Coturnix japonica: one gene and its partners. The protein of the gene in region 2 interacts with the protein of the main gene of each other region in a biochemical or structural test. Links are inferred from orthologs where the notes say so. Each region holds a gene or a part of one and is shown on either strand. Other genes may lie near its edges.

What was found.
Region 1: the proteins of TFAP2A (region 2) and CITED2 form a complex in vitro, tested with the Homo sapiens proteins (2 studies listed by BioGRID, with this or other methods). The link is inferred for Coturnix japonica from reciprocal best matches to the Homo sapiens genes TFAP2A and CITED2.
Region 3: the proteins of TFAP2A (region 2) and EPS15 form a complex in vitro, tested with the Homo sapiens proteins (2 studies listed by BioGRID). The link is inferred for Coturnix japonica from reciprocal best matches to the Homo sapiens genes TFAP2A and EPS15.
Region 4: the proteins of TFAP2A (region 2) and KCTD15 form a complex in vitro, tested with the Homo sapiens proteins (2 studies listed by BioGRID, with this or other methods). The link is inferred for Coturnix japonica from reciprocal best matches to the Homo sapiens genes TFAP2A and KCTD15.

The regions. Positions count from the first base shown.
Region 1 is NC_029518.1:48,804,879-48,812,424, forward strand, and holds CITED2 (cbp/p300-interacting transactivator 2), read left to right. Parts: upstream 1-2,711; 5' UTR 2,712-3,216; intron 3,217-3,773; 5' UTR 3,774-3,780; coding exon 3,781-4,494; 3' UTR 4,495-5,917; downstream 5,918-7,546. UniProt on the Homo sapiens protein: Transcriptional coactivator of the p300/CBP-mediated transcription complex. Acts as a bridge, linking TFAP2 transcription factors and the p300/CBP transcriptional coactivator complex in order to stimulate TFAP2-mediated transcriptional activation.
Region 2 is NC_029517.1:65,923,367-65,930,375, reverse strand, and holds part of TFAP2A (transcription factor AP-2-alpha), read left to right. Parts: intron 1-183; exon of another isoform or gene 184-498; coding exon of another isoform or gene 499-525; intron 526-1,592; coding exon 1,593-2,027; intron 2,028-4,672; coding exon 4,673-4,724; intron 4,725-5,424; coding exon 5,425-5,656; intron 5,657-6,623; coding exon 6,624-6,742; intron 6,743-7,009.
Region 3 is NC_029523.1:21,506,119-21,513,127, reverse strand, and holds part of EPS15 (epidermal growth factor receptor substrate 15), read left to right. Parts: intron 1-133; coding exon 134-175; intron 176-1,222; coding exon 1,223-1,312; intron 1,313-1,658; coding exon 1,659-1,706; intron 1,707-2,675; coding exon 2,676-2,771; intron 2,772-3,161; coding exon 3,162-3,227; intron 3,228-3,765; coding exon 3,766-3,891; intron 3,892-4,337; coding exon 4,338-4,397; intron 4,398-4,678; coding exon 4,679-4,879; intron 4,880-6,072; coding exon 6,073-6,218; intron 6,219-7,009. UniProt on the Homo sapiens protein: Involved in cell growth regulation. May be involved in the regulation of mitogenic signals and control of cell proliferation. Involved in the internalization of ligand-inducible receptors of the receptor tyrosine kinase (RTK) type, in particular EGFR.
Region 4 is NC_029526.1:9,282,628-9,290,080, forward strand, and holds the start of KCTD15 (BTB/POZ domain-containing protein KCTD15), read left to right. Parts: upstream 1-2,648; 5' UTR 2,649-4,822; coding exon 4,823-4,840; intron 4,841-6,223; coding exon 6,224-6,399; intron 6,400-7,453. UniProt on the Homo sapiens protein: During embryonic development, it is involved in neural crest formation. Inhibits AP2 transcriptional activity by interaction with its activation domain.

The DNA of each region.
Region 1 (7,546 bases), on a different chromosome or scaffold from region 2:
TTCTACAGAAAGGGCATTTCTTCCAGGATATCGTTCTAATATAAAATTTCCTATCAGATAACCCTAGCAGATGTCCTGAACTGGGTTTTCCTGACTGCTTTGTGTCAGCGTGGGAGGGAACACATAGAAACTCACCTCCAGGGGTGATGTGGGAGAAACAAGTCACAGAGAGTTACAGACTGTATTTGGAGTTGGAAAAAAATAATAATAAAAGTAAATAATAAAAGTTAATAAATAAATAGAAGACCTAGAGGTCCAAATCTCCCAGAAATTCATCATTCATTTGGTTCCAGAGGCAGATCCCTACAACTGTAAGTATTGAGTTGACTTGAGCATTATCCTCTATAATTTTCCTTTCTGTTCCAGCAGTGTTCCAGCCTGGAAGGAGTGAGTAGGGCTGCAGCCAGAAATCAGACTTTGTTCCCCTGTGACTTTCTCATATAAAATGTTAACACCCAAATGAGGACCATTTTTCCTTGCTTTTCCATTGCCGTGTTTAATCGTTCTCAGTGGTTTTTCCTGAATGGGCAAAACAATCACTTTCTGATTCCAGCTGTACTTGAGATCCTCACTGAGGAGTACATCTGTGAGCTCTGTTGTTCCATCCTCACCCTGCCCACTTCCTGCATTCTCTGGCTATGCGCTGCCTTTCTTGTTATTTTACTGAAGAGCCAGTTCAGGTACGCAAGATGCCTTTGTAGACTATGGGTGACAGGATAGCTTTAAATAAACCTGGCTCAAATCAGGAGTGGCATGCATGAGATCCAGCTTGCTACCAGCTCCATGATGGTCTCGTGTTTTGTCCTGCATTCCCTTAGCTGCCTGTCACCAAGTCTTCCAGCCATTTCCTGGAAAGCAACCAGTTGATTGTGTTCCTATTGTGCTACAGCCACAAGCCAGTAACAATGAAAACATGTCTTACATCACTCTGCTCAGGTTTATCTCGACACACTGCAGCCCCTGATGAAGAAAGCTCCATCATGCCTGCTTCACTGCACGTGGGCTGTAAATACCTGAAGATGCATTCTGTATGAGTGAGGTGTCACAGAGGCTGTGACATGCCTTCTATTGCTTCTGGCAGTCTCTTGCCAATTCTCCATAGCTCATTTTGGCATCTGATACCAGCTCCCAACATCTGAAAGCTGAAAATAGGAAAGGGCATTTGCAGGGCTGTGATATGATGTGTGCTTGGCTTTAAAAAGGATCTAAAACTCAAAGCAAGGGAGAGCAAAAAGGCATACCGATATCACCATGGATATGTGACATTAAACAAACCACTTGTCATGATACACAGCTGACAACTTGCCAAATGGAGCAGTATCTTCTTCTTATTCATGGCTTTGCCCTGTAAAACCTACACAACTACAGGAAAGGAAAACCTCCAGAAAGGTAGTGTCACTCTTCTGATCTCCCCAGGCCAGAATGGAGGTCCTGCTGAACAGCTTCTCCTGAAAGTGCACCTACTCAACATGTATCAGAAGAACAAAATACAACTTTATGATGGCATCCTGCAGGGTGAGGTCACATCCTCAAGGTAACTCTCGTACTTGAGGCATTCCCTGTCCACCCAGGGCTTTAATTCCATCCTTGCCATGCATCTCAGCTGGGGTTTGAATGGGGTATTCTTCTGGTGTTTTGTATGAGTGAGAACTGCAACAGCCATCCAGGGATTTACTGTATTACTTCACAGAATAGTAGAATTATAGAATATCCTGAATTGGAAGAGACCCACAAGGATAATCGAGTGGATTATCTCTGTCTCCACCACAGTAGAGAGAGGTGGAGCCACTGCTCCTCCTTAATTTCCTGTGGCCAGGTGAGGGCCACACAAAAAGCAGCAGGAGGGCTGCCATATGGTCTGTACTTCCAAGTTACCCCTGTGGCCTTTGCAGACATCATCTCCCCAGAAGCACTTGTGCACCTCTTGCACTGCTATGTCTTTGCACAGTACATGGAGGAGCAGAAGCTCCAGCTCAGCCTACATGATGGCTGCTTTGACCTCAAAAGAGGAGCGGATGATCCCTCCTGTTTGGGGAAGAGTCCTCCTGGACAGCCAAGAAGGGGAAGCAGAGAGGAGAAAGCCAGGTGAAAGCTAAAATCAAGGCAACGTCCAGCTCTCCCCTGCAGCAGGCCTCCCCCATCCTACAGCATCTGTGTGCTCCTCCAGCACAACTGCCTCCCAGAGCAGGGTGGGACTGTAGCAGAGGTGCCCTGTGCAGGACTGCTGCTTTGGGGGCAATTGGGGCACACGTGTCCCTCTAGGGTGGCACAGGATAACCTGCGACAGGAGGGGTAGAGGACGTGCCAGCCAAGAAGGTCACATTCACAAAGCATTCACCCGTTTACGGTTGTTTTCCTTTGCCGTTGTAAAAACATGGATCGTAAGCAAGAAAATGGGCAACACCGGATGGGCACCCGCCCCGCACACCCGAGGTGGTTGCTACACTGTGGGGCAACGCGGATACGGAGGGAGGCCGGGAGGGAGAGATGCGGCACCGAGGCTGTGAAAAAAAGTGGATCTCGGATCTCACCGCCGGGAGAGGCGCCGGCCCGGGGGAGCGCCCACGCGCGTCCGCGTCCGGGGTCGGACACCTGCACGGCGAAGGCTCGGGAGGGGCGAGGAGCGGGGCCTCTTCGAGAGCGGGCTGCTCTGCATTAGCGACCGGCCCCACGCGTGTCCGCGGCCGCGCGGTGCAGGCGGGCAGCGCCCTCCTCTGTGGCATTGCCGGGGCTGCGCTCCCCGCCGCGGAGCCCCGCTTTGTTCCCGGGGGAGCCCACAAACACACGTGTCGGCCGGGCAGGGGGAGCGGGGCCTCTGGATGCTGTCCTGCGTGGCTCCGCGCGTGGATGTGTCCGTGCGTGAGCGTGTATGTGTGCGCGCTGGGTGTTGGTTGGTTTTCGTTGTTGGTTTGTTGTTTTTTTTTTTCTCCCCTCGCTTGCTCCAGGTTTTACTTCTGGTTGCCTGTAAGGGTTTTGCTCCTCCCTTCTGAAATCCTATATTAGCTGTGGCCAAAGCTGGGTAAGAAACACAGCTCATTGTTGGCAAGTGCCGATGAGCCTCGCGGAGGAGTGAGGAGCGGCGCTGGGGCTGCGGCAGCGGCAGAGCCCCGCCGTCACGTCAGCCCGGGAGAGGAGGGCAGAGCGCTCTATGCGGGGTGACTTCTGCTGACTGATTCCACCGCCACCTTTGAAGGGAAAGAAGAAAGCAGCCGGGAGGTGAGTGCGGAGGTTGGGCAGCTGCTGCGGTGCGTCCCTTTTGTGTGCGGCAGGAAAAACGCGACCGCTTAAACGCGCGAGAAAAGGCGCTCCTCAGCCGCGCGGCTTAATTTCCGTATATATGCCTTGCGGTATCTGAATTTATTTCTTTTTAATTGGGACTTCATTCCAAAAGTTGCTGACAGCGGCGGGGTGGGACTTCCCCGGTTCTTTGCTCGCTCTCCGCAAGTTGGAGGAGCGCCTTTGAACGAACGCAGCTTGTGACACGCTCGGGGCTCCGGAGGAGCGGGGCCCCCGTCCGGGTGGAGGCGGCTGTGCCGGGTGCCACGGTCCGCCGATGGTGCGCACAAGTTGGAGCGGGCGGGCTCGCCGCACGCCGGCTGAGCGGAGGGGAGAGGGGCGTTCGCAGGGCGGGCGCCGCTCGCGTTTCTCCCTTTGTACTCCACGGTAGAGACGCGGTAGCGAGATTCCCCCTGGAAGGAGGACGGCGAGAGGCGCGGTGGCTTTCCTCGGGCCGCCGGTTGAGGGGCGTTCTCTTTAACACGCTCGCTTTCCAGGTGGGAGATGGCGGAACACATGATGGCCATGAACCACGGGCGATTCCCCGACGGCGCCGGCGGGCTCCACCACCACCCCGCGCACCGGCTGGGCATGGGGCAGTTCGCCGCCCCCCATCACCACCAGCAGCAGCAGCAGCAGCAGCCGCACGCCTTCAGCGCCCTGATGGGAGACCATATACATTACGGAGCGGGCAATATGAACGCGAGCGGCGGGGTCCGGCACGCCATGGGGCCGGGCGGCGTGGGCGGGGGGCACCCGGCCGGCAGCATGCCGCCTCCCGCCCGCTTCAGCGGCTCCCAGTTCATGGCCCCCGCCGTGGGCAGCCCGGGAGGGCAGCTGAGCGCCAGCATGCAGCTGCAGAAGCTCAACAACCAGTACTTCAGCCACCACCCGTACCCGCACGGCCACTACGTGCCGGACTTGCACCCCGGCGGCCACCCGCTGAGCGGCGGCGGACAGCATTTCAGGGACTGCAACCCCAAGCACGGCGGCGGAGGCAGCGGCTTGCCGCCCGCCGTGCCCCACGTCCCCGCGGCGATGCTGCCGCCCAATGTCATAGACACTGACTTCATCGACGAGGAGGTCCTCATGTCCTTAGTCATCGAAATGGGGCTGGATCGCATCAAGGAGCTGCCCGAGCTGTGGTTGGGACAGAACGAGTTTGACTTCATGACGGACTTCGTTTGCAAACAGCAGCCCAGCAGGGTGAGCTGCTGATTCATTTCCAACAAACAAAGGACTTTCTAGCGGTGCGAGTGAAAACATTCCCCCCCGACGCGGTGTCTCACTTTTCGCTGCCCGAAAAGGTGAGAGAATCTGGAAAGCAGAGTAAACTATGCGCTTGCGTAAACTCTTTATTTTTTTTCTTTTATTTTTTTTTCATTTTTTTTTAATTGCTGCCACTTTTTATTTTTATAGCCTCGACATTCACGTGTCCCCCTCCCCTACCCCCCTCTTACCCCCCCCCCAAGGCTCCCCCCCCCTCCACACGCACACATCCTTCCTCCATCCCCCCGGGGATCATTCCCATCGAACTGTGCCTTTGGGCGCTCTTTGCCCCCTCCCCTTTCCTCATTTCCTCGCAGGAACGTGCCCATCACTCCCACCGTGTTGAACAGATAGATGTTAATCTCGGCAAACTGCTTGATCTTGGGGATTTGGGAAACGACGGTTTCCGATGACTCGAGCTGCATTCAAATTCTGAGGGAACAGGGAAAAAGGCATTCGTTGGTTGCATGAACTTTGAAGGGCAGATACTACTGCACAAATGCTGCCATCTTGCTTAATTTTTAACTATGCATCGCAGTGCAGACTAATAAATCCATCATTTTGTTTTCTTTTTCGGATACGCTAAACTGGAAGCTTAGCAGATGTGGGCCAAACCTTTCCGGATCAGAACAAGTAAATAACTGTTACTTAAGAGTCTGCTGCCCATTCCCCCTCCCCCATATGTACAGACAATAATATGGTGTGGATGGAATGCTGACTAGTGGCAAACATTTCACAGGTCTTCTTTCTCTCTCTCTCTTTATTTTATTTTATTGTTTTAATTTTTATTTCGGTTCGAATTATTTTCTGTCTCCAGCATTTGGACACTGTGCTAATATAGTTTATTCCATACATGAAAAGATACTACTGTGTTGAAAGCTTTTCAGGAAATTTTGACAGTATTTTTGTACAAAGCATTTTTTTGAGAAAATATTGTTAATTTATTCTATTTTAATTTGCCAATGTCAATAAAAAGTTAAGAAATGCTTTAGTTTTTCTAGAAGTCATTTACCAGTATTTTTTCTTCTAAACTCCCCCCACTTTCCCCAGTAAGTAAAGCATCTCTCTGTAGTACCATGTTGGTGTTCAAAAAGACATTCCGAGATATGAGGTACACTTCACCCCTATATATGTCATGGTGAACTGGGTAGGTGAGTGGGATTTAAACATACTTACAGCATACAGCCTCATACGTAGCATTGTAATATGCCTGTCAGTGTGGTTTGATGAAATACGAAGTTGCTGAGATGCGACTCTTTTGTGACTTGCCAACATACTTGCTTTAAATGTAGTTGTCCAGAGTTATGATGCATAAAGTATTTATTATATTTATCTATTAAACTTGTAATTTTATAAATCCTCTTTCATTTTATACAATAGACTTTTTTTTCTTTCTTTTTGTATATTTATTATCTTATCTGAAAGAACTACTTTGAAAGATGGTTTGAGAGGTTATAACTTTGTAACTTGGGGAAGGAGGGTGGTGGGCTTTCTCATCTCCCAGAGAGGGTTAACAGAGGGGAGTGCAGCCCAGATCTGCATCACGTCAGCACTGACCTCATTCCATTCCTAGAGACTTAGGAATACACACTAGCTACTTCCTGAAATATTCCACCATGGGACGTCTCTAACCCCTCTCTCCCATAGAACTCCCATAGAACATACCACCCAACCTCACTGAGATAAATCCATAAGAATCCACTTTAAATATCTGGGAGAGAAAAAGGGCCCCTTTTTGTAGGGCAGATGACATCTTGCTCCTCCAGTGCCAACTGTTGCAGTCTTCTGCCCTCACTCCACCTTTGGCAAAGCTGATATGTTAAGTTACTGCTAAAGAGCTGACTGCAGGGCCAGGCCCTGGTAATACATATATTCCCATTCACTTCCTAAATTCAATACAGAACCGACACCTCCATGCTTTCTTTTCACTTGACTTTCAACCTTTTGTTTTGAGTATGTTAGGAAGAAGAGTAGCATGATGGAGACAGTTAAAGTTTAAACCTGGGCACATAAGTAGGGGAGGATATCATCACACCATGGGAGTGGGGTTTTTAATCCAGTGGGGAAAATAAACTGATTACTATTGATAAAAACTGTCCCAGCTGGTGAATAAAGTGCTATTTGGCCTTCTTTGCACTATGTGGATGTGAAGGAGTTAATATGTTTTATGATGGTTTAAAGAAAAAAAATGCCATAATATTAACAAAAGTAGATATACGGAAGTGAACGCTACTGGGAAAATCTGATGATAATGTGGTCCTCACAGCTGGTAACAGCCCTTTGTTAGACAATCCAAGAGCTTAAAAATGACAGTCTGGCTTGAGCCAGTGCTTGCTCATGTAGTGTGGAAGCAAACTGAACATCAAGTGGGAGCATTTAAAATAACATGAGTGTTTATAGAGGAATACAGGTGTGCTTCCAAGAGCCATTGCCCAACTGGCCACTATGTAAGTCCCTTTTCTATGCTAAGGATGTTTGATCTGCACACATTGCATTGCTCTCTTCTGTAGAGCTCTGGAGAGTGTCTCTTCTGATTCTGATCAACTTCTTACAGAACAGACTATCAAATTATGGGCACGCCAAATAGCACAAATGTTTAAATCCCCTGCATTCTCCCAAAACAAAAGGAGATACTCCCACTTATGTTATAAAGTATCCTTGCTTCATAGTGCTGGTTAAGCAAAAGATTCTTCACAGTTGAGACTTTACTACTTAAGTCATAGAATCAATGAATGGCTTAGGTTAGAAGAAACCTTAAATGTCATCCAGTTCCAACCCCCTTTGCCATGGGCAGGGCTGCCCCCCACAATCTCTGGCTGCCCAGGCCCCGTCCAACCTGCCTCCAAGGATGGGGCACCCATAGCTTCTCTGGGCAGCTGTGCCAGCATCTCGTTACTCTGAGTAAAGAATCTCAACATCTAATCTAAATCCTTTTCCAAGAGGCAAAACTTTTCACAGGCATACTAGCAAAGCCTATTGGTGTACAACTCTGTAAAACTAA
Region 2 (7,009 bases):
ATGAATATCCGCTGCTTAGGAGGCTCCGGAGGCGCGGAGGAGCGGGCGTGAGGAGCCCCGAACGGAGCGGCCGGAGCTCGGGGGAGAGGGAGAACGAGACAGAGACAGAGCGAGAAAAGGATTGAGAAACTCGAACACCACATACTAAAAAAAAAAAAAAAAAAAAAAAAAAAAGGGAAAAAAAAAGAAAAAAAAAGAGAAAAAAAAACCGCAAACAAACAAGCAAACAAACAACAAAAAAAAATCGACCAACTTTACCTCTCGCCCCGCGCCAGGATAAGCAGAGCTTCTGCAGCACCCGATGAAGGGCAGCGGCGGGCGCTGCGCGTTCTGATGGATTCCGGCGGCGCGGGCGCGGAGCAGGAGCAGCCCCGGCTCCCCGCTGCTGCCCCCCGAGCGTAGCGCCGGGCTCCGGCCGCGTCCATCCGCGCAGCTCCGCGCCCCTCCGCGGCCGCCCCGCGCCTCTCTCCCCGCCGCGCATCCCCCGACGCCTCGCAGATGTTAGTGCACAGTTTTTCGGCTATGGTGAGTGGCTTCGCCTTTCTCTCCGCCGGGGGTCGGGGCGCGGGGCGCTGCTATTGTTGGCGGCGGCGGTGGCGGCCGGGCTCGAGGCGGCTCTGCCCTGCGTTCTGCTGCTTCGCCTCGGCTTCGCCCTCTTCGCTCTCGTTTGGTTTTATTTTCCTTTGCTTTTTTGTTGGGGGGGGGAGGGGGAGATTGCTTTGGTTATGTTGGGGTTTGTTTCTTTTTTCCTTTCTTTTTTTTTCCTTTTTATTTTCCTTTCCATTTCTCTTTTATTTTCTTTTCCCCATTACCACCCCTTTTTTTTTTTCCTTTTTTTTTTTTTTTTTTTTTTTTTTTTAAATTTATTTTTCCTTTTATTTTTGCTCTGCCGATCTCCGGAGCCGCCACCCCGTTCCCGTCGCTCCGCACCTGCCCGCGGGGTTTTACTCCTTCCCTCGCCGCCTTTCTGAGGGCTATGTCTCTCTCCTTCCGATCCCTTCCTCCTCCTCCTCTCCCCCGTTTGAACGGGGCCCGGAGGAGACTCTGGGCCCTCGCCTTCGCCCCGAATCGTTGTGCAAAGTTGCTGGCAGGGGCAGCGGTGCCCCCGCAGCAAGATGGCAGTTCTCTCGGCTCTCCCGCTTTATCCCCGGGATGTGACGGCGGCGGCCCCCGGTAGAGGTGCGCCGGGGCCGGTGCAGCGCTTTGGGTTACGGTTTCGGCTTATGGTTCCGTAGGGCCCCGTGTAAGGGTTGTCTCAGTGCCCGCTGCCGGGGCACGGCCGGCCGGGAGCGCACGGATCGCCGCCGTAGCGATTTGTGAATTGTTCGGAACGGTCCCGTTATTGTGGTTATCGCTGCTATTACACCGGCACCGTTGGGGCGATGGTCCGAGCCCCGTTAATGCTGCCGAGGGCGGCAGACGGACCCCCTTCTCTCCCTCTGCTCGAGGAGCTGCTCGGCGGGTGAAATGACTGGAGGGCGATTTTGAGGAGCACCGGTTTTGATTTCATCTTTTGTTTTTCTTTTCTCCCCCTCTCTCCCCTCCCCTCCTCCCCCGTACCCCCTCCCCGTGCCCCCCCTTCCCCCCCCCAGGAGCGCCACGACAGTGCCAGCAACGGGACGGCGCGGCTGCCCCAGCTGGGGGCCGTGGGGCAGTCCCCGTATAGCAGCGCCCCGCCGCTCTCGCACACCCCCAACGCCGACTTCCAGCCGCCCTACTTCCCCCCTCCGTACCAGCCCATCTACCCCCAGTCTCAGGACCCCTACTCCCACGTCAACGACCCCTACAGCCTCAACTCCCTGCACACCCAACCGCAGCCCCAGCACCCGGCGTGGCCGGGCCAAAGGCAGAGCCAGGAGCCGGGCTTGCTGCACGCGCACCGGGGGCTGCCCCACCAGCTGGGGGGGTTGGACCCCCGCCGCGACTACCGGCGGCACGACGACCTGCTGCACGGCCCTCACGGGCTGGGAGCGGGGCTGGCCGACCTGCCGCTGCACTCCATCCCTCACGCCATCGAGGACGTGCCGGTAAGCAACGCCGGGCCGCGGCCCCGGCTGGGGGCGGGCGGCGGCGGAGGGGCTGTCCCCTTGGTGCCCCCCTCTCGCTCGTCGGAGGAGGGGGGACACTTGGCGAGGGAGGGGCCCCCGAAATGTAATAGAAGGGGAGGGAGGAAGAGAGGAAGGCCGAGCCCCCCTGCCCAGAACAATGGGCTCGTGTGGTGCGCTCGCTGAAATGGGGATAAATCAAATGAGTGTCAGCGTTAACAATATCTTTCCTTCTCGGTGACAATGAGATGTTGCGATTGGGAGAATGTTTACTGTAGCCACAGGGCCGTGCGTCTGGGGAGCTCTCGTTGGTGTGGGGTCTCGGTGAGCGTTCTGCATGGGAAATGCAAAGGGAAAGGGGTTAAAAAAAAGTCGGGGAAAGTGGCCGATGGTTCCTCAATATTACGGGATGGTGGCATCTCAAGTTGTGAGGGGACACAGCGAGATCCCTTCTCCAAAGGAATTAATGGACAAGTATCGGAGGAGGTTTGTGTGGAGCTGGTGCCATGTTCTTCCAGCAGCAGTACAGAGGGATGGATGACCCCACAGACCATTGGCTGTACCTATGGGTTATCAAATCCCAACCAGACCTGCCTCACTTCTATTAAATTAAATGTGTGGAGCCCATTGGGCAGCATGTTATATTCGGGGAATCCAATTCTGTTATCAGTAAGCCCGGATTTCAAACTAAAATGGTTTCTAATGAAGCATGGCATTACACACGGCTGTGATGGAGCAGCCGGGCCATTGTTCCGCAGGAAAGTGCCTTATGCAACGCAATGGGAACGTGAGCAAAGTTCCTCTGCCGGGGTTCTCCCTGCAAACAGAACGATAACATGGCAATAGATGTATAAAAGCTCATAGAGCCCGTGCGGATGGGCTGAGGCTGCGAGGGAGAGGAGGGAGCTGTGTGGTGTCTGGATGTGATTTCTGCCCGAATGCCATCCCAAATTACGGGATCAAATCTTCCAACAATATATTCGCTGACAGCTTAATGAGTACAGTTTCGCGTTGCGAGGATGATGCTCAGACGAACGTAGCTCTCTTTTTGGGGGGCGTTTGGAAACCTTCTGCAAATTACACCCGTGGAAAATGGTGAATTTATGGCAGCTTCCCCCCTTTCCCCCCTCCCCCCCCGTTTGAATTGAGCCGCAGAAAATTGCCGCTCGTGTTCCGCACTTTTGCAATAAATACGAACGCTTTCCAGAGCGGAGGCTTTAGTGAACCATTGGGATCCGTTAGGAACGAGTCTGTTCTTTTAACCCGATGCAAAAGAACGCGGAGGCAACAGCAGGAACAAACCAATTTGTTGCCGTTGAACCCCTGACTGCTGCAGGAACGTGACCAAATCGTACTCCTCCATTCCCCCTCCGCTCCCGACCGCTCTCTCTGTCTCTCTGTGCCCTGCAGAGACTACAGTACAAATCGCTCCGTTTGCCTCAGAAAGAGCCACGAATTAACGGCGCTGCCGTAGTTTGTGAGAGCTGAGTGCCATCTGTTTTAAATCCTTACCCAGCCCGGCCCTTGGTTTCTTGGTTTTGTTTTGTTTGGTGCGTTGTTGTTGTTGTTGTTGTTGGGGCTTTTTTTTTCCCCCTCTCTGTGAAACCGAATGGGCAGGCACAGAAATATGGGAACGTATCTGCTGAGAGTCTCCATCTCGTTGTGAGAGGGGGGAAAATAACACGGAGCTTTGGGGTCGGTTGTGGATTATTCCGTTGCTGCCACGGTTGGGCTTTAACAAAAAAGGGACCGGTGGAAGATTTAAGTAAATCGAGGAGACGGTGCAAATTATTTAATCATAAATATCTCGGTGGGATTTTAAACTTAACAGTCCTCCCCGTACGGAATAGGCGCAGAAATAACACAAATAAAAGTATTATGCCACACTACATTGACTTTATGGGTTTAGGGTGCATGCATAAAGGGATCATATTTCCCCATATAGTTAAAACACGAGAACTGCGGCAGTAGTCATTTCTGAACATTTCTCAATTTAATTATACTTAAATCCAGAAGCACTTTAGGCAAGTTACAAATGAGAGCACGGAGTATAATAAAACCTGTAATAAAGCAACTTAGTACCATCCACCCGGAATCATTGAGATCAGGCACAATTAACGGGAGCATAAATCCAAGGCAGAATGGAAAATGTTAGGATCAGTATTATTGTTGGACAAAGACTAGAGGAGGAAGTAATAGTTTTTTAAATGGTAATGCCTGCGTTTTGTAACCATTGCGAAACCTTCTATCTCAGCAGCGCTGGTGTTAATTTGTAAACACAGCCAGGCATTATATCGCCTGTCACTTCTTTCGGATTTAAAAAAAGAAAAGGAAAAAAATACTAACAACGCTGTTCCGTTTGGTTTCCTCGGCACGTTGCGAGCGAACCCCATCTGCGGGCACACAATGGGGGGGAAGCCCGCCCGGGGGTGCACAGCTCGCCCCGTCGGAGCGGCCCCCGTGCGCCCGGCTGCGGCCGCTCCTTTGTGCCTCGCCCGCGGCGGGGAGAGGAGGAAGGGAGGGAGGGACGGACGGATGGATGGATGGATGGATGCGGGGCCCGGGGCTGTGGGACGGCTCTCGGTGCCCGCCGTGCTCGCTGACCGCCGCCTCTCGTTGTGTTGCAGCACGTAGAAGACCCCGGCATCAACATCCCGGATCAGACCGTCATTAAGAAAGGTGAGCGGCGATCGCGGGCGCGGCGGGCCGGGGTCGGGAGGGCACCGCTCGTATCGCTGCCCGGGAGTTTGCGGGGTTGCAAAATCCGCTCCGGTGTTGCGGCGCGTTGGGATGCGGTTCGGTTTCGCTCTTTGCCCGAAGCTCGGGGCTGCGCGGCGGTGTGAAATCGTTGTCGGCAAACAGCTCTTCCTCTCGCTGTTCCGTGCTTCAAATCGCGGCGGCGATCGGCCGGGCTGCTGGGGACCGGCGGCTCGGTGGGATCTCATCGGCTTTGTGCAGCGCTGCCGGGCGGACGGGCACGGACAGCGGGCGGCCCGGCGCCCCGTCCCCCTCCCCGCCCGCCGAGCCTTTGTCACGTCAAATTAGACGCGCGAGGGATAAATCTGAAGAGATGCTCTTTCCGAGCCGACATGATAATTGGCTCTTTTATTAGTAATCTCCAGAGTTCGTTTAACTCCCGGTGTATCCATTAGCCCTCCCCGAGCTATTAATGTCACAAGCCATCCATCCCCAACCCCGGGCCCTCTGCCTTGCGCTCCCAACTTCTGTGCCGGGGCAGGCCGGTGTGTTTCGGGGTCTTTTTATTCTTTTTTGCTTTCTTTTATTTTTTTCCCCCTCCGTTTTGGTTTATTTTCGCTCCGGGCCGGGGCTGGCCGCTCTGCCCCCCCTCCCCTCACCTCCCGCTCCTCCCTCCCTGCAGGCCCCGTGTCCCTGTCCAAGTCTAACAACAACGCCGTCTCCTCCATCCCCATCAACAAGGACGCTCTCTTCGGCGGGGTGGTGAACCCCAACGAGGTCTTCTGCTCGGTGCCGGGCCGCCTCTCGCTGCTCAGCTCCACCTCCAAGTACAAGGTCACGGTGGCGGAAGTGCAGCGACGCCTCTCGCCTCCCGAGTGCCTCAACGCCTCCCTGCTGGGCGGAGTGCTGCGGAGGTGAGGGGCGGGGGGAAGGAGGGAGGCGGGCGGGCGGACGGCGGCGGCCGAGGGGGCATCGAACCGCAGCGCACGGCCGGCCGCCCGACGACCGCTGCCGCCCCGACGGAGCCCCTGCGCCCGCCCGGCCGCTAGGGGGAGCGGCGAGCTGCCGCTGAGACGGCGGGCGCCTGGGGGTTGAGGGGGGAAAGCGAGGGGTGGGCTGCTGTAATCATAGCAATGAGACCCGGTGTGTGAGGCGTGGTGGACCCCCGGCCTCTCTGCTGTCGTGGCTATGGCAGCCCCGGGTGTGGAGGTTGGCTTCACCGTGCCATGTGGGTGCCGTTGGGCTGTGATCTAATCCAGGCAATATAAGAGAGCTCGGGTAGGGAATAAAATTAATTAGCCAAACTTGCATCCTAACGTGCTGTCTCTGCAGGCCTGCGGTGTTTGCCATGCAGGAATCAGCCTCCCGTGTGATAACGGCAGTGTGGGCTCCCAAACTTTCACATCAGCCCGCTCAATAATGACAGGATTATAGAATAGAAGCATTAAGCTTGGAAAGGCACTAAGATAATCTGGTCCACCATGCCCACTAACTATGTGGCACATCCACATGGTTCCTGAGCACCTCCAGGTTCGGTGACTCTACCACCTGCCTGGGCAGCCTGTGCCAGTGCCTCACTGCTCTTTATGTGAAGAAATAGTTCCTAATATCTGACCTGAACCTCCCCTGGTGCATCTTGAGACCATCCTCTCTTGTCTTATCAATGGAATAATGCAGCCGCTCTGAGACATGTCCCCTCTAGGCCGTGGCGGCTGCTGGCTCATAGCAGGCCGTCACCTCAGTCACTGCATTGCTCCATCTGTAGACTCAGCTTTTCCCCCAGAAGCCTCCCTTCAGTGTCCCTCTGGTGACAGTGTGGTGTTTTGGGGTGCTACACAGTCCCTCCTGCCCTTCCTCTAACCACCTTCTGTTGTGGCACAGGGCAAAGTCCAAAAATGGTGGGCGGTCCCTCCGAGAGAAGCTGGACAAGATAGGGTTGAACCTGCCGGCCGGGAGGCGCAAAGCTGCTAATGTCACCTTGCTCACCTCGCTGGTGGAGGGTAAGTGCCTTAGCCCTGCCTGTGGTGTTGCACAGTGGGACAAGGCTTGGTGTCTTGGCTCTGTTTTATTTTCCAAGTTGGTGCTGCCTGTTTGAAATAGGAAAGGTGTTCTTGTGGTCTGCCAGGAAAGGATGGTTGGTTGTGCAGGCTCTGTCTTTTGATCTAACTTAAAACAGATCCTGCAGGCTCAGCGTTAGGCTCAGTCCCATCAGCGCTGGGCTGTAAGTTGCAGGGAGCAGGGCTGCTGCCACCCTTCCATCAGTGGGC
Region 3 (7,009 bases), on a different chromosome or scaffold from region 2:
ATAACGCTTTATGAAGACCAGCAAAAAGTGTTTCCTGGCTCTGATTATCCAGGGAGAAGGGAGTTGAAATGCAGATTTTATGATTAATTGAATATCTTTTCTCCCCCCCCCTCCCTTTTTTTTTCCTTTATAGCTATCAAGTGCAAATCCTGTGTATGAGAAGTTCTATCGACAGGTACGTATGTCCTTGTTAAGAAAAGAAGCTTTCTTTAATGTAGAAGAATATTCTTTTGCTGTAGACTTCAGCATGGCCAGCAGTGTGTAAGTGTTTGAAGTTCGAGAAAAACACTGCTTACTTACAATATATTTCTGTAGTAACTAAAACTTGTCTGAGCTATATCAGTGCAAAATAAGGTGTAAGATGATTTACGTATGGTGGTTTGGTAGCAAATTCAACAAAACATACATCAGTTTACAATAATAAGACTGTGAGCAGTTGGACTGGAGTAACCCCCTGCCAAATACTGTTCTCATGTGGTTTGTTTTCCATTTACAAGTGAAACTGACTGTTGTGTTTGCAGACTAGTTAGGTTTATGTAAGACTTGCATCTCTCTTGATGTCTTAAGGTTCTTTTCAGTGCTGTTGTGAGCTTTGGGTGAAAGGCAACCTAGTGACAAAAGTATATGTGAAGTTCTTGCAGCTTCACTCAATAGACATAAATCTTTTGACTTTGGAATTTTATTTATTACTCATCTTTTATATTTAGACCAATAAGAAAAGAAAACAAACCTTTTTCTTTTTTTAATACCTCAAAAAGTTGAGCACTCACTTCTTAAGAAGGACTTTTCTCCACAAAAGGGGCATTTCAGTTTTGAAATTGCTGAACAAAAAGATGTCAGCTTTCAAAACAGCAGTGTTAGAAAGACATTTCCCTTTGTCTTATTGTATTAGTAGAGCATGTCTTGTTTCATTCATAGAAGCACTTAAGAGCTTTCTGTACCACTGAAGAATAAATTCATCACCTGAAATAGCACTGATGCTCAGTACTCCTCCAGTTCTATCATAAACTTAGTCATTCAGTTTAGGCAGTATGGACTGTGAAATTAAAAATAAACACAGCTGATACTGTGTTACTCTGCCTTTGCTGAAAGAGATTCTGAAAAAGTGGCTATGTTAACCTGACTATTCTTTGCTAGCTTTGTGAGAGCTTCTATAATGAGACTGCATCAATTCAAAAGCTGGTTGGTGATGTGAGTTGGCTTTTTTTTTTTCTACCTCCAGGTTGATTCTGCTAATACTGGAAGAGTGTTAGCTTCTGATGCAGCTGTCTTCTTGAAGAAATCTGGATTGACAGACTTGGTGCTTGGAAAGGTATTTAATGACAAGTATTTAATTATCCTGTCTCTTGCTTCAGTTAGTGTCCTCTGTAAATTAAAGTACTTGGATAGGTATGGCAGGATACATGATCTTCCTTCATGTGTTTTCAGTACTGCTATTTAATGGTTTCAAACTTCAGTACCTGTGCTTATTCCACAGTCTATGTTGCTCATGATGGTATTAAAACAGCATTTAAATTTGTCACCACAAATAATTGCTGTAGCAAAAGTTAAGAACTGAACTTCCATCCAAGAATTAAATTGTTCTTAATGTAAGTGAGAACTTGCCAGCTTCCTTTTAGTGTTTTGTAATACCTTTGACTATTGTTTTTATGTTTTAGATTTGGGACTTAGCTGATACTGATAGCAAAGGAATCTTGAACAAACAGGTATGGTTGTTTGATGAATGAGGTTACTCTAACTGCTAGCAAACCTTGCAATAAGATAAGCATGAATGTTTCTGGTTCAGAAAGGCAGTTCTTCTCATAGGATTTATTTTTCTGGTATGTACTCCCTGTTTCAGTGTAAGCTACAATAAATGAAGTACCCTTCAGCTACCTCATCTGTTTCTCTTCAAGTCATAATATGAGCTGCTGTGTATGTGTGCAATACAACAGAGGAATAATTTAAGGTCTAATATACTGTATTTACTATTATGGTAATTTTTCCTCTTAATCTTGAGGTGAAAAATGCAGAAATCAAAGTTCTATAAAATCTTCAAAATCCACATTTATCTAATTTTGTTGGATTTCATGTGTGTGCGTTGTGTTTGGACTTGTTCTTTTTAAGCTGCAGCTGTGAGCAGTATGTCAGTCAGACATACTGCTTGCTGACAAGCTCTGATGTGATATTGCTATTAGATGGTTTGAAGTGTAGTTAGTTAAATAATGGCCTGCAGAGAGTTGGTTGCTTTCTTTCACAGTAGGAAAAGCTGCTTGTAGCATCTATGAAACAAATCTTTCACCAGCCTTCCAATTTAGTTCATCCCTTTCATATGCTGTACGTTTCTTCCCTCCTTCGCTGTCAGCTGCCACCTTTGGGGTTAACTCAGTTCCTTCAAGATAAACAGCTGTATGTGCTGCTTCAGATTCTTACTTCTCTGTCATAGAAGAACTGAGTGCAGAGAGCTGATTGTACTAGCAAGGAAGCTACTAACTGCGTGGAGGCAGTAATTACAAGTTTTACCTCATTGCAAGAATTCACTGGTTTTTTTACTGCTGCTTTCTGTCATTTTGCAATTCATACCCTTCCAAGCTGTTTGTGACCTTTGTATGTATAACAGTACTAGAAAACCTCTTAATCTTTGCTCTTGCATATTTTCATGTAATAAAACTGTTACCATTTTATTTTTCCTGTAGGAGTTTTTTGTAGCTTTACGACTTGTAGCATGTGCACAGAATGGATTGGAGGTTTCCCTGAGTAGCCTCAATTTGCCCGTTCCTCCACCAAGATTTGTAAGATTTTATTCTCAATATACATATTAATAAGAAGCTTTGTAGCTAATAATTAGGAGGGCTTGTTATAAATATCTGATGTTTCTGAAAAAGATGCTGCAGGGGAGGGGAAAACAAGAGAACATGGAGCTAGAATAAGGTGCTGCATGTTTTAGTGGGGTTATAAAAGTAAAATTGTGTGAAATTGGAACGTTTATGGCACTCGTTCTACTAGTGCTGTCCTTAATAGAAGGAAGGTTTTAAATTTCTTACTGTAAATCTTTATTTCCCTAACTATAATATGCATGACTCAAATGCCTTGAGAAGCAATGATTTCACAAATAAAGGGGTAGTTTTGAAATGTCAGAACTCTTTATTTTTTTAAGTGAGTTTTTTCTCTTTTTTCATTAGACTGATACTAGTAGTCCTTTGCTGCTCAGTGGAACAGCATCGAGTGATATACCATGGGCTGTTAAGGTAAGCGAAGTACCATGCTACTACCTAGAACAGTAATTTGGTCTGTAAGGAAACACAAATCTGAGAAAGATATGATGCTGGTAGCTATAGTTTATTAAATATGATAAATGGACATTCCTGTTAAATCTGTAATTGTAGATCTAATTTGTGTGGGTCTGGAGGAGGAGTGAAACCGCTTGGGAAATCTTGGGAAGAAGCTTGATTTATTGAGAATGGTCACTTGAAGGCATGAAAACAAATGAGGACTAAATCTCAATGGATTTTGTACAAGTCTCTGACTTTAAAAAGAAAAGAAAAAAAAAAAGGATGGGGGTTGCGGGGGGGGGGAAATGTAATTTCTGTGTATCAGGAAGTTCCTGATATGATATGATATGATATGATATGATATGATATGATATGATATACGTTCCATATACGCCTTTTTCACTGTAGCTTTGACAAATTAATTTGACAAAAATACGTCTGTATTTTTGTAAGTGCTTTGTAGACTGCAAGTGTGACTGCTTCCATAAGTCATATTTTTCTTCTGTTTCCGCAGTTGGAAGACAAAGCCAAGTATGATGCTATTTTTGACAGCCTAAATCCTGTTAATGGACTGTTGTCGGGAGATAAAGTGAAACCTGTACTCCTGAACTCAAAATTGCCAGTGGATATCTTAGGACGAGTAAGAATAGCTTTTTATCATTACTTATCAGTTAATTGTTAATTCACAGATAATAACTGTGCTACATTCATAATCTTTTCCTCAAATCCTGTGTTTATAGTAATAAGCCTAATTACTAAATATTGTCCTATGGAGTTGACCACACATAGAACTGTTACACTGTAAATTTTTTCTGTGATATTTCAATGGATTTCCTCTCATTATAAAGCATACACAAAACTGATAGATTAACACTTTGTTTAGGACAAGGTTCCATTAACATTCCAATTTCAGACTCTTCTTTTGCATGGCCTGTATGAATGTATATCACTTACTGAAAACTGCTGTTAGATTATTAGGACTTTAGATACAGTGGAAGGAGACTGTTCTCACATTTGTTTTTTAATGACGTAAAAAGGAAAACATTACAGTTTAGGCGAATATCCCTATGTTCTTTTTATTGGTAGGTGTGGGAATTGAGTGATATCGACCGAGATGGAATGTTGGATCGCGATGAATTTGCAGTGGTAAGTATCCTATATACCTCAGAATTTTGAAAATTGAATGACAGAGGCTTAAAATGGATGAATTTTGTTAGTTTGTGACCATGCAGTTTCATTTATTGCCTTTATTCAAAGAATTTAATCAAATTAATATCAATTTATTGAATGTATCATTACACAACAGTAACTTTCCCTCTGGGCTAAATGAAATATTGTGAAAAGATGCTACAAAGTTGCTTGTTAACTAATTCTTTCTCTTCCTCCTCTCCTCATTCACGTGTTTGTTTCTTTGTGTATGTGTTCAGGCCATGTTCTTGGTGTACTGCGCGTTGGAGAAGGAACCAGTGCCAATGTCCTTGCCTGCAGCTTTGGTGCCACTATCCAAGAGAAAACCTATTAGTGTTCCAGGAGCAATGCCGTTAATTCCTTCTTCAGCATCTTGCAAAGATTCTCATCAGTCCCTGCCACCTGTAGGCATTTTAGCTGCCAAAACTCCATTAACACAGGTATAATTCTGAAGGAAATTAGGGTCAAAAGATTTGTTCTTAATGTTTTACTTTGGGGTCTGCCTATGTGAAAAGTCTTGATAAATGTTTTTTATTTCCTTCTCCTTGGCCTATCGATAATAAAGTTGAGGAGGGTGATGGGAAGACCAGATTAAGAGAAAGTATAATACGTAATTTCTTCAGATGTCTTCAAATATGAACAGTTGGATAAAAGTGTATTATTTAGTGAAGATTTTGAAGGTATTTTACAAATAAATTGTTTCAAAACATCTAGCTCAACCCAAAGATCAGAACACTTAGAAAACAGTTTAATCCAAGTATGTGCAGGCAGAATGTTTGTTCTGACTGAATACTGGTTTGAACATGGGCAGTTTTTAAAACAAATTGTGATAGGATTGTGTATGTACTTACATGTTGTCCAAGACTTTTAATCTGGCAGTTTACTTGACTGACTTAAGCCTGGGTAGTGTGTGTATTACAAAGCAGTGTATTCTGGATGAGTGTCTTGGTGTATATTTTTTTTTTAATACAGTACCATTTGAGATTTGTATGTGTTAAATGTCCTTGTACTTTTAAATTAATATCCACAAGCATGCATATATGCAGAAGCTGAATCAATTTTCACTCACCCTCCCCCCACCTTTTTATAGTAAATAGTGTAGTATTTGGAGAAAATGTTGAAGTAAGAAATGTGGCTGTAACTCCTATCTTTACCCTGGTAAGAACTTAAGACCTACAATTTAGAATGTCCCAGCTGTTATCTCTGAGCTTGACCCAGCTAAGGGTCTCCAGCTGTGTAAGGAGGAGTGAAGTTGATGTAGCTGGACTGAGTACAGTGGTGAGTGGAAAACCCCGTGCTAGGAGGAGATCTGGGCCCCAAGGGATACATCTATTGCATAGGCAAAGAGAGTATCAGAGCAGTAGTAGAGCAGTATCAGCCGACTGTTGTCCTTCATTGATACCAATGTTTTTACTTTTGGAGTGTCTTACAGATGCCTATACATGTCTATGTACTTTTATCTATGATAAAAGTGATTCATAAATGAGGCACCCGTATCACTTTCAAAATCTGTGCTGTAGTCCTTCAAATATGTAACTCTGAAAGTATATAACAGTCTGAAAACAGAACTGTCTTTATCTTGGCATTGTGGATTTTGTTTTTCTCTCTACCGCTCCCTCTCCCTTCTCTTCAGTGGGTTGTATCGCCTGCAGACAAAATTAAGTATGATGAGATCTTTGTGAAAACTGACAAGGACATGGATGGATTTGTGTCAGGTGTGGAAGCCAGAGAACTATTCCTGAAGACGGGACTGCCTTCTGCTCTGCTTGCACATATCTGGTAGGGATTATTTTTCCACGACAGCTGTTTAGGCGATGGCATGGTTCTTGCTTTTTCCTTACTCTTTTAGTGAAAAGTGCTAGGTCGACATTTATGGAAAATGAGGGCTATTTTCATATACAATAGCAAGGCCTCTGTATTAGCAGCAGTAATTTAATTTGCTTCTACTTTTGGATAGAAATAAAGGGTAAATTGGTTGATGCCATGAGCTGTTTCCTAGCTAAAGGAGGTAAAGAGCCTGAAGAGATAGCTACAAACCAATACTGCATTTAGCTAAATGCCTGTATATAAAGCACCATAATGTTGCTGTGTATTTGAAAACTGATAATGTCCATTTGAGAATTATCTGTATTAAATTGTTAGCATTCAAGACTCAGGGCCCATCTAATTCTGTGAATCATTTGTCTTTCATTATAACCTGTATATTATAGCCTGTAGTGACACCTACTGTGTGGTGGTATTGTTTCCAAATTTTTCTCCATTGTAAGCTATTGCGTGGTACTCTGATAGAAAAGAAACATTGTCTTTTTCAAAGTATGGTTAGTATAATATAGGAAATCTAGGAAAATGGTATAAACTGGTGTTGCTTATGGGGAGTTCTTCAGTTTAGCAAGTAAATTCAGCTACAGATATTTAGACATTGCAATTTGTAGGCCTAGTTCAGCCTTTTACCAGATTAATAATTACTCTAACAGAGCAGTGAAACTGTACAAAAAGAGGAAGTGGTTGGGTATGTTTCTGTATTTATTACCATGGTTTATTTGTGCATTACATTATTTTTAATAGAGCAG
Region 4 (7,453 bases), on a different chromosome or scaffold from region 2:
GTAAGCCCGCGGAAGGACGTGACAGCGGCCCGAGCCTCCCCGGCACCGACCCGTTACCGCCGGCGGGGCCGGGCCGGGCCGCGCAGTTCCGCGGGCAGCGTAGGGCTCCGCGTGCTGCGGCGCTTCCCGGCCCCATCCATTTCCAGGGCTCGTGTTTTGTTTTACTCGGGGGTGGGGGGGGGTGGGGGTGTGAAATAAATCTGGGGACCTTCACTAAAAGCAGGGGAAAATATCCAATTTTCATCGCAAAATTAGCTAGGGCGAGAGCAAAGGGCTGAGCTAATTGTAGCCTAATCCTCTGCCCTGCAGGCGTTTGCAAAGCCCTGAGCAAGAATTCGCTTTTTTTCCTCCTCTTCTCCCTTCCCTCTGTTATTTAGAGACGGGATTATTGCCTTTCTTCTCATAACAGCCTCGGCAGTTTCATTTAAAGGCTTTTTTCCCCCTCACACGCACACATCCGCGCACACACAACATAAATAGAAAGAAGCGGCAAAAAACAGAGAGGGGGAGAGCGAGCGAGGAGAGAGAGAAGCCTTAAAAATAATAATAATCACAGCAGGATCTGAGGAGCAAAGATAGTAATAAAGGCAAAAAAAACGAGCCCATCCACACACAAACCCGGCAGAGCCCAAAGCCGAGGGGGGCTCGCGGCTCATCCTGTGCTCAAGGTAAGGAACCCGGGCCGGGCTGGAGCGCTGTGCCGTGCCGTGCCGTGCCGTGCCGAGCCGTGCGTTGCATTATTGCATCGCGCTGCACCGCGCGGCGCTCGCGCCTTCTCTCGCTCCTTTTTTTTTTTTTTTTTCCTTTTTTTTTTTTTTTTTTTTGGGAAAGTGCCTCTTCAAACTAACTCGGCTCCGGAGGAGAAGCGGCAGAGGGCTGTTTTTTTTTAAAGCTACAGCTCCCGCTTTGCTCGCGCCGTGTGTGTGTGTGTGTGTGTGTGTGTGTGTGCGTGCGTGTGTGTGCGTGCGTGTGTGTATGTTTTGTTTTGCTCCGCTCCAGCATGGGCAGCGCCGGCGGAGCCCCGCGGCCCGGGGTGCCCGCGCTGCCGCCCCGGCCCCGGCTCTGAAGACGGCCCGGCCCCGGCCCCGGCGCGGCGGAGGCAGCGCAGCCCGCTCCGCGCTCTCGCAGGGTACACGCGGAGCCGCGGGGGTCGGGCGGGCGGCGCGGGGTGCGCGGCCGGGGCGCGGGGGTGGCGGCGGGGCGGCTCGGCACAAAGGGAAGGCGGGCGACAATGGGAGCGGCGCGTATGGAAAGCACGGGAGGGATGTGAATGAAACTCTGGCGCCAGTGAGAGTGGAAGGCTCGGGTCGGGGCAGACTTCAAACCACTCTAGGCTATAGTTTGCATTTCTGCTCCTGCGTGCGATGTGGCACACTTCTGCAAAATTCATACATTAGCCTGGCTAACGCTCGCCTCCATTGGCTGCGCCGAAATCGGATGCGATCGGGGTTACGGGGCTTTTTTTTGCCCTCGCGTTCATCTAAGATATCTCCCTGTTACGAGGGAATAAGTAAAGGACGCCATGTTGTGCTTTTTTTTTTCTCCCTGCCGATGGTTACCTTCGGGCACGCCGCGTTTCAGAGCGAAAGGCAGAAGTTGGGAGGGCGGCTGCGGCGCTCCGCGGTGGTTCCCCTGACCAGCAGCGGGGAGAGGCGTGGGGTGACGTGAAGCCGCACTGATACAGCGGCGGCTGCCACGGCGGGCGGGGGTGGGGAGGGAGGGAGAAAGGAAAGGAAAGGAAGCCTCTGCTTTTCTCTCTCTCTCTTTTTTCCTTTTTTTTTTTTTGGTGAGCATTGCTCCGCGGGCAGCCCCCCATTCCCCCCTGCAAAAGTTTTGGGCACGATCCACTCTGTCACTCGGGACAGCGGTGCGTGAGGCAGCGCGGAGGTGTGTGCAAATGTTGACGGACTTTAAATTTTGGAGCCATCCAGTGCGAGGTTTCAAGTAACCCCATCCCTTCTTTGTCTCTAGGCTCGCTTCTCAGCGTAACCAATTGTCTCCGAGTGGCTCTGGAGGCAGACCCGAGCGGTCGCCGTGCGTGTTTATGGAGACAAAGGTAAATGCCCGGCCCGGGGCTCTGCCCTCGGCTCCGCGGGGCCGCGGGGCTGGGGCCGCTCCCGCAGCTGCTCGGCCCGGAGCGATGCGGCTGGGGCCGCTCCGGCGGTGGGGCCGGGCCGCGGGCGGGCGCCGGCCTCCCCGGATCCGGGCGGAGCGGAGCGGCCGCAGCGCCCGTCGGCGGGTGTCGGTCCTGCTGCGGGCGGGGCGCGGGGCGCGACCCACGGGGCCCCGCAGGCGCCCGGGCGGAGCGAGCGGGGACTGGCGGCTCCTGGAACCTGCGGTGCTCATTTCACGTCTCGAATGTGCATGAAGGAATTAAACTGCACGAGTGAATAACAGCATTAGTTTCAATTAATTTTTATCCTGGCAACAATAAACTTTAGAAACAAAGCGCTTTTACATCCGCAATTAGTCTTGCTTCCCATCTGTAGTCTTTTTAAGTGCCTGCTCCTCGATTTAACTTTGTCCCTCCTTCAGAGCTGCCTCCTTTTCCGCTCTCCCCCCCCCCCCCCTTTTTTTTTTCTCGTTATCCCTTCCAGGCTGCCGCTTGCTTCTGCAACCTTTCACCTCCCCTGTCCCTATCTGTCTGCTCTGCTCTCTGCAGTTTATTTCTACTGTATTTTCCCAACATCAGCAGCAGTATTGGTTACCATGGCCCCGGGCTATGTGCAGAGGTGGGAAAGCTTCATCCGCCCAAAAGTTCTTACACTTTTGAAGTCTTTCTTTTAGTAGGATCTGAAATGTATCATCTAGAGTGTGTATTAAATGAACAGTATTCCTGAAGGCTTTAGAGCAAGAAAGGCAACACCCTGGAAAATTCTGCAGTCTTTCAGCATTCTCTGCCCTAGGGTTATAGCCCTGGGCACGGAGCTGAATGGAGCTCTTACAACTGCCTTCTGTTTACCTTTTATGGTTAAAATAACAGCTTAGCAAAGAAGCAACTTCATGGAGAAACGATTCAGTGAAATCATCTCAAGCTGTAGCAGCATAGCTAGTTTAATCACCCCTAGAGAGCTGAACAACTGTGAGCACAATGGGACACAAAATCATTTTGTGTGTAAATGAGCATGGCATTGTGATTATTTCACTTTGCATGGGCAAATAGTTTTTACAAGCAGTACTTATGCAGTTAGCTTAGAAAGGCAGAAAAAGATAAGCTGGCTCTGAAAGATCTTGGTGTGCAATGTTTGAAAAACTAAATATTCAGATAATTTGGGAAGCGGGCTCTATTGATTTTGCCTTCAGCAGGTTCCTGTGTTACTGATTAGAGCAGGGTTATTGCCTGTGCCACTAGTTGGGATGCTGTATCCTGTCGTAGGCAACTAAAGAGCAAGGATTATTTTACATGGTTTAATAAACGACTTTTGTTAGTGTTCCTACAATAGTTACCCTTAAGGTTTTAATTTTCACATCAGTATTAGAAAATACGTGCATAAAGACTTTCACTGGATAAATACATTTAAGGTTTTGCTTTGTGCATAAAATAAGTGCATTACTCAGTGTGATCAATTTTATCTGTGTTTTACATTAAGGGAGAGGAAGGAGTCCTTAGAAATAGTGGTACTGTACCTTAGGAAACAAGAGTGCTTATTTTTTGGAGCACTACAAGTGTTTTCAGTGTCCTTACGCTCAACAATTACGCCCCCTGATAATCTGCTCATAGGAAATGACTGAACTCCACAACTCTCATAAACACGTTGGGTTCATTTTTAATACCAGTCCTCTCTGAGCAAGGGAAAAGCCCGTGTTCTGATTCCATCTCCTCCCCCAAAAAGCCGGTAGCATCCTCAGTAAGTACGAAAAGCCATAAAAGTTTGAGAACTATTTTAGCTTTCCAGTGATTTTCTATAATTAAGTGTTTTTTCAACACATGCTCTAGCTGAGAGATGCCAAAAGCAGAGGATTGTTCAAAAGGTCCCTCCAGTGAATAGTATAAATTAAATATCTACTGTGTGAGTATGGCCTCTCTGAGAATCTCAGACTTTTTACAGATCAAGGAATTTACTGGTATACTAACATTAAACAAAATCCTAAGATAGCAGCCGTGCTTAAATATGCACAAATAGGTTCGGATCACTTGATCTTTAGCTATCTGTGCATATTTTAAAATAAAAGTCTGTATTTCAAGACAAATGGTTAAATGTAAGACTCGTTTACAGAGGACTGGAAGCCCTTTGATTTCATTTGGAAATTGTAACAAGGGGTGCAGATGAGCCCTAATTAGGCACTTGTTTTGTGAAACTGCATGAGATGTGTTTCTAAGGCAGCTCTGTGCTGCGCGAGGTCTGTACCTTTATCATTAGTGATAATAGTTAGGGTCTGAACAAAGACAGGGTTGACATTCAGCCTGTGTCTCCTGACCCTTTCATTTAAGTGAGGGAGCACAGACTGAATATGAGTTCGCAGTGCTCTTTGGTAAGAAAGAAAAATCTTTGTGTTGGCAGACAGATGAGGCACCCACAGACTGGTAAACAGAGCGCTAAAATCCTGCAGGTACTTACATACTAAGTTGCTTTTGAAAGTTAGTTCTTTTATTTATGCTATACGACCTATTTACTGAAGCTTGCCCACAACAAGCTCTTGTGGGAAACAAGAAAGCAGCGTCTTGAGTCATGAAAGGATTCAATCACTTTCCTTGAAGGTGGTGCTGTAGCAAAAATGTTAATGCCCAATTTCACATCGACTGACACAGAAGTCCTAGGACAGAGCTGGCATTTGCTTCGTGCTCAGTGCAGAGGTCCATTCTGCCTCCGAAGAGGAAAGGATGTGGATTCATAATGGGGTGATGTATTGCTGTGCTTTAGATGCAAGAAATCCTTAGGAGCTAAACTAGATAAATGCAGTTAATGGAGACGTTACGATGACTTTATGAAGCTGTCTGGATGAATTAAGATTTTTCAGCTCCTTTCTACATAGCTCAGATTTGGATTTTTACAGCAAATATTTCTAACTGCATGTTCATTGTGTGTCATAGCCAGGCTCCTCGTGCAAAATAATTACTGCTAGAAGAAAGACAAGACCAGCTTTAGATTTCTAGGAAATATTATCAAAGTAATGTGGGAGAAATGGGAATTCACTTTGTAATGCTGTATTGAAGTGCTTATCAGATAGAAGGGAGAGTCTGGGTGTTTGGTAGCATGCTTGCAAAACAAAATACCAAGAAAATTAGATTATATTCAGAAATATCTTCAGCTATAATGTTTTGCATATGTTGTTTTACCCATAAGGGGGAGAATGAACGGACATGTTCTAAAACTTACAGTAGATTTTTTGTTTGCCATGTGTGCTATCTGTAGTGATTGAACCAAAATTAGCTCTGAGACACACGTTTCAGCAGGATAAGCTTTGCTTTTCTTACTGAAGAGAACTGCTCTCCTGCTTTGCTAATCCTTTCCATTTGTGAGACATTTTAAGATTCTTGACTCAATTCAGTAATTCTGCTAATTATCAAACATTTTTAGTGCAGTAGCCATTAGATGGATGCTGAATTTGTGATTTCACTTGCCAGATTGCATAGTGGTCTCTAACGCTTCTTGTCATGAAAACACAGGTCAGTTTACATATATGTATCTTTCTGTTTTCGCTGCTTCCAGGTATTGCATTCAGTTTCAAAGCTTATTAGTTCTTTGTATCTAATATTAAGGCTTAACTAAAAATTATCAATTTATTTTGCAATTATTGAAAATAAGACACAAAATTGATCTCAGTTTGATATGAAATTTACTACATGTATAAACTAAATGCCTTAGGTACTGAGGAAGTCACTAATTTAGAGGTGTCTCGTTACTGAGACAAACTTGCAAAACCCCCTGAATCCCAATTCACAAATTGGTTATTCGTTTGTCAGGGGATATTTCACATCTAACACATAAGCCCGCGACCTTTAATTAGAATTTTGCAGTTTGTTTTATGCCCCTTGAGGCTGACACCTTGAAATTTTTTTTCTTGATTTCTTATTGCTAATAAGCATCTTTCCCTTCCCCTCTGGTACTTTAAAGAAAATGATGCAAATACACTTAATTACAGTGGTGGCAATAATTTGTTAGCTGAATATGTGATCAGGCAGATGCAAAAATGATCTGATTAGATCTGTGATCACACTGAAAATAAAGGTAACACACTGCTACATTTAAGAAAAACTGTTCTTTTTGTCCTCCGTTTCCAGGAGGGAAGAAGCATGTCCCGTCTGTCTCTAACACGGTCCCCAGTTTCTCCTCTGGCTGCTCAAGGAATTCCTCTCCCAGCCCAGCTCACCAAGTCGAACGCTCCTGTGCACATCGATGTAGGAGGACACATGTACACCAGCAGCCTGGCTACCCTGACCAAGTACCCAGACTCCAGGTAAGACTTCTGGGTTTTCAGGCTCTCTGCCTCATTCTGTTCATTGCATGGAAATACTCATGTATGTACCTGTGCGGCATATTTCGGTGCGAAATATGATTTATTATATATTCACCATTTATGAATAATTCACTTTCCGATTTATACGTTAACCTCACTGGTGCTGTATAGAAAAAATGCCTGTACAATTTATGTATTATTTAGAGAGCCTATTCATTTTCTCTCTCAGTGTCTTCAGCACTACACTGCCATGTGTGAAGCACCTGTTGGTGTCTTTGATTATTTCCAACTGTACCTGGCTACCTTGTTCCTTTCAGATTTAGGAAAAATATTTTTTTTTCCGCCTTCTTTCAAGAGAATGAATCAGCTCAGTTATGTTAGGACCAATAGATGCTTTTGTTGGCCAGCAGAAATCTGAAAGTCAGGCATAGCTCAGTGCCTCTGTGGCAGCAGGCATGTCCTATGGGCAGTAGGCAGTATACCAGCTCCATGCACTTGCAGCCACACTTTGGATCAAGTTTGTGTGGCTTAGGGTAACTGAATAGCACTGTGTGTTAACTCCAGATACATCAAACTATGAACTGAGGAGGCATGAAGATACTGTATATGTAACACTGTCTCTTTGTTACTTGCCCAGATCCCAGTCCTGTGGGGTACTGCCCACCAAGATGTACAAGTCACCATGGGTAGCATCAGACCTGTAATGGTACTGTGGAAGAGATCACTGCTTTCAGGGTTAAAATATTTTCATTGCAGTAGTACCTGATTTTGATTTACAGTTATTGATCACTAAAATGATTCATCTTTTTGTCATTCTGACTGTTTATGCTTCAGAAGGATAAATGCCTCGTAGGTAACCACCAGAAGGTGTGGATATGCAGTATCAACGTGCCTGTCAGACTGCTTAAAGGAGGCACTATGGACTCAAAAGTAATCCAGAGCTCAGGCCAGCGAGATATCAGAGATTTTGCTACCTGCATGGCCAGTATTTCTGTAAAAAGGGCTTTTTTTAATTGGCAACCACTGTAAAGCTGTAGATTTATTTGGAGATTTC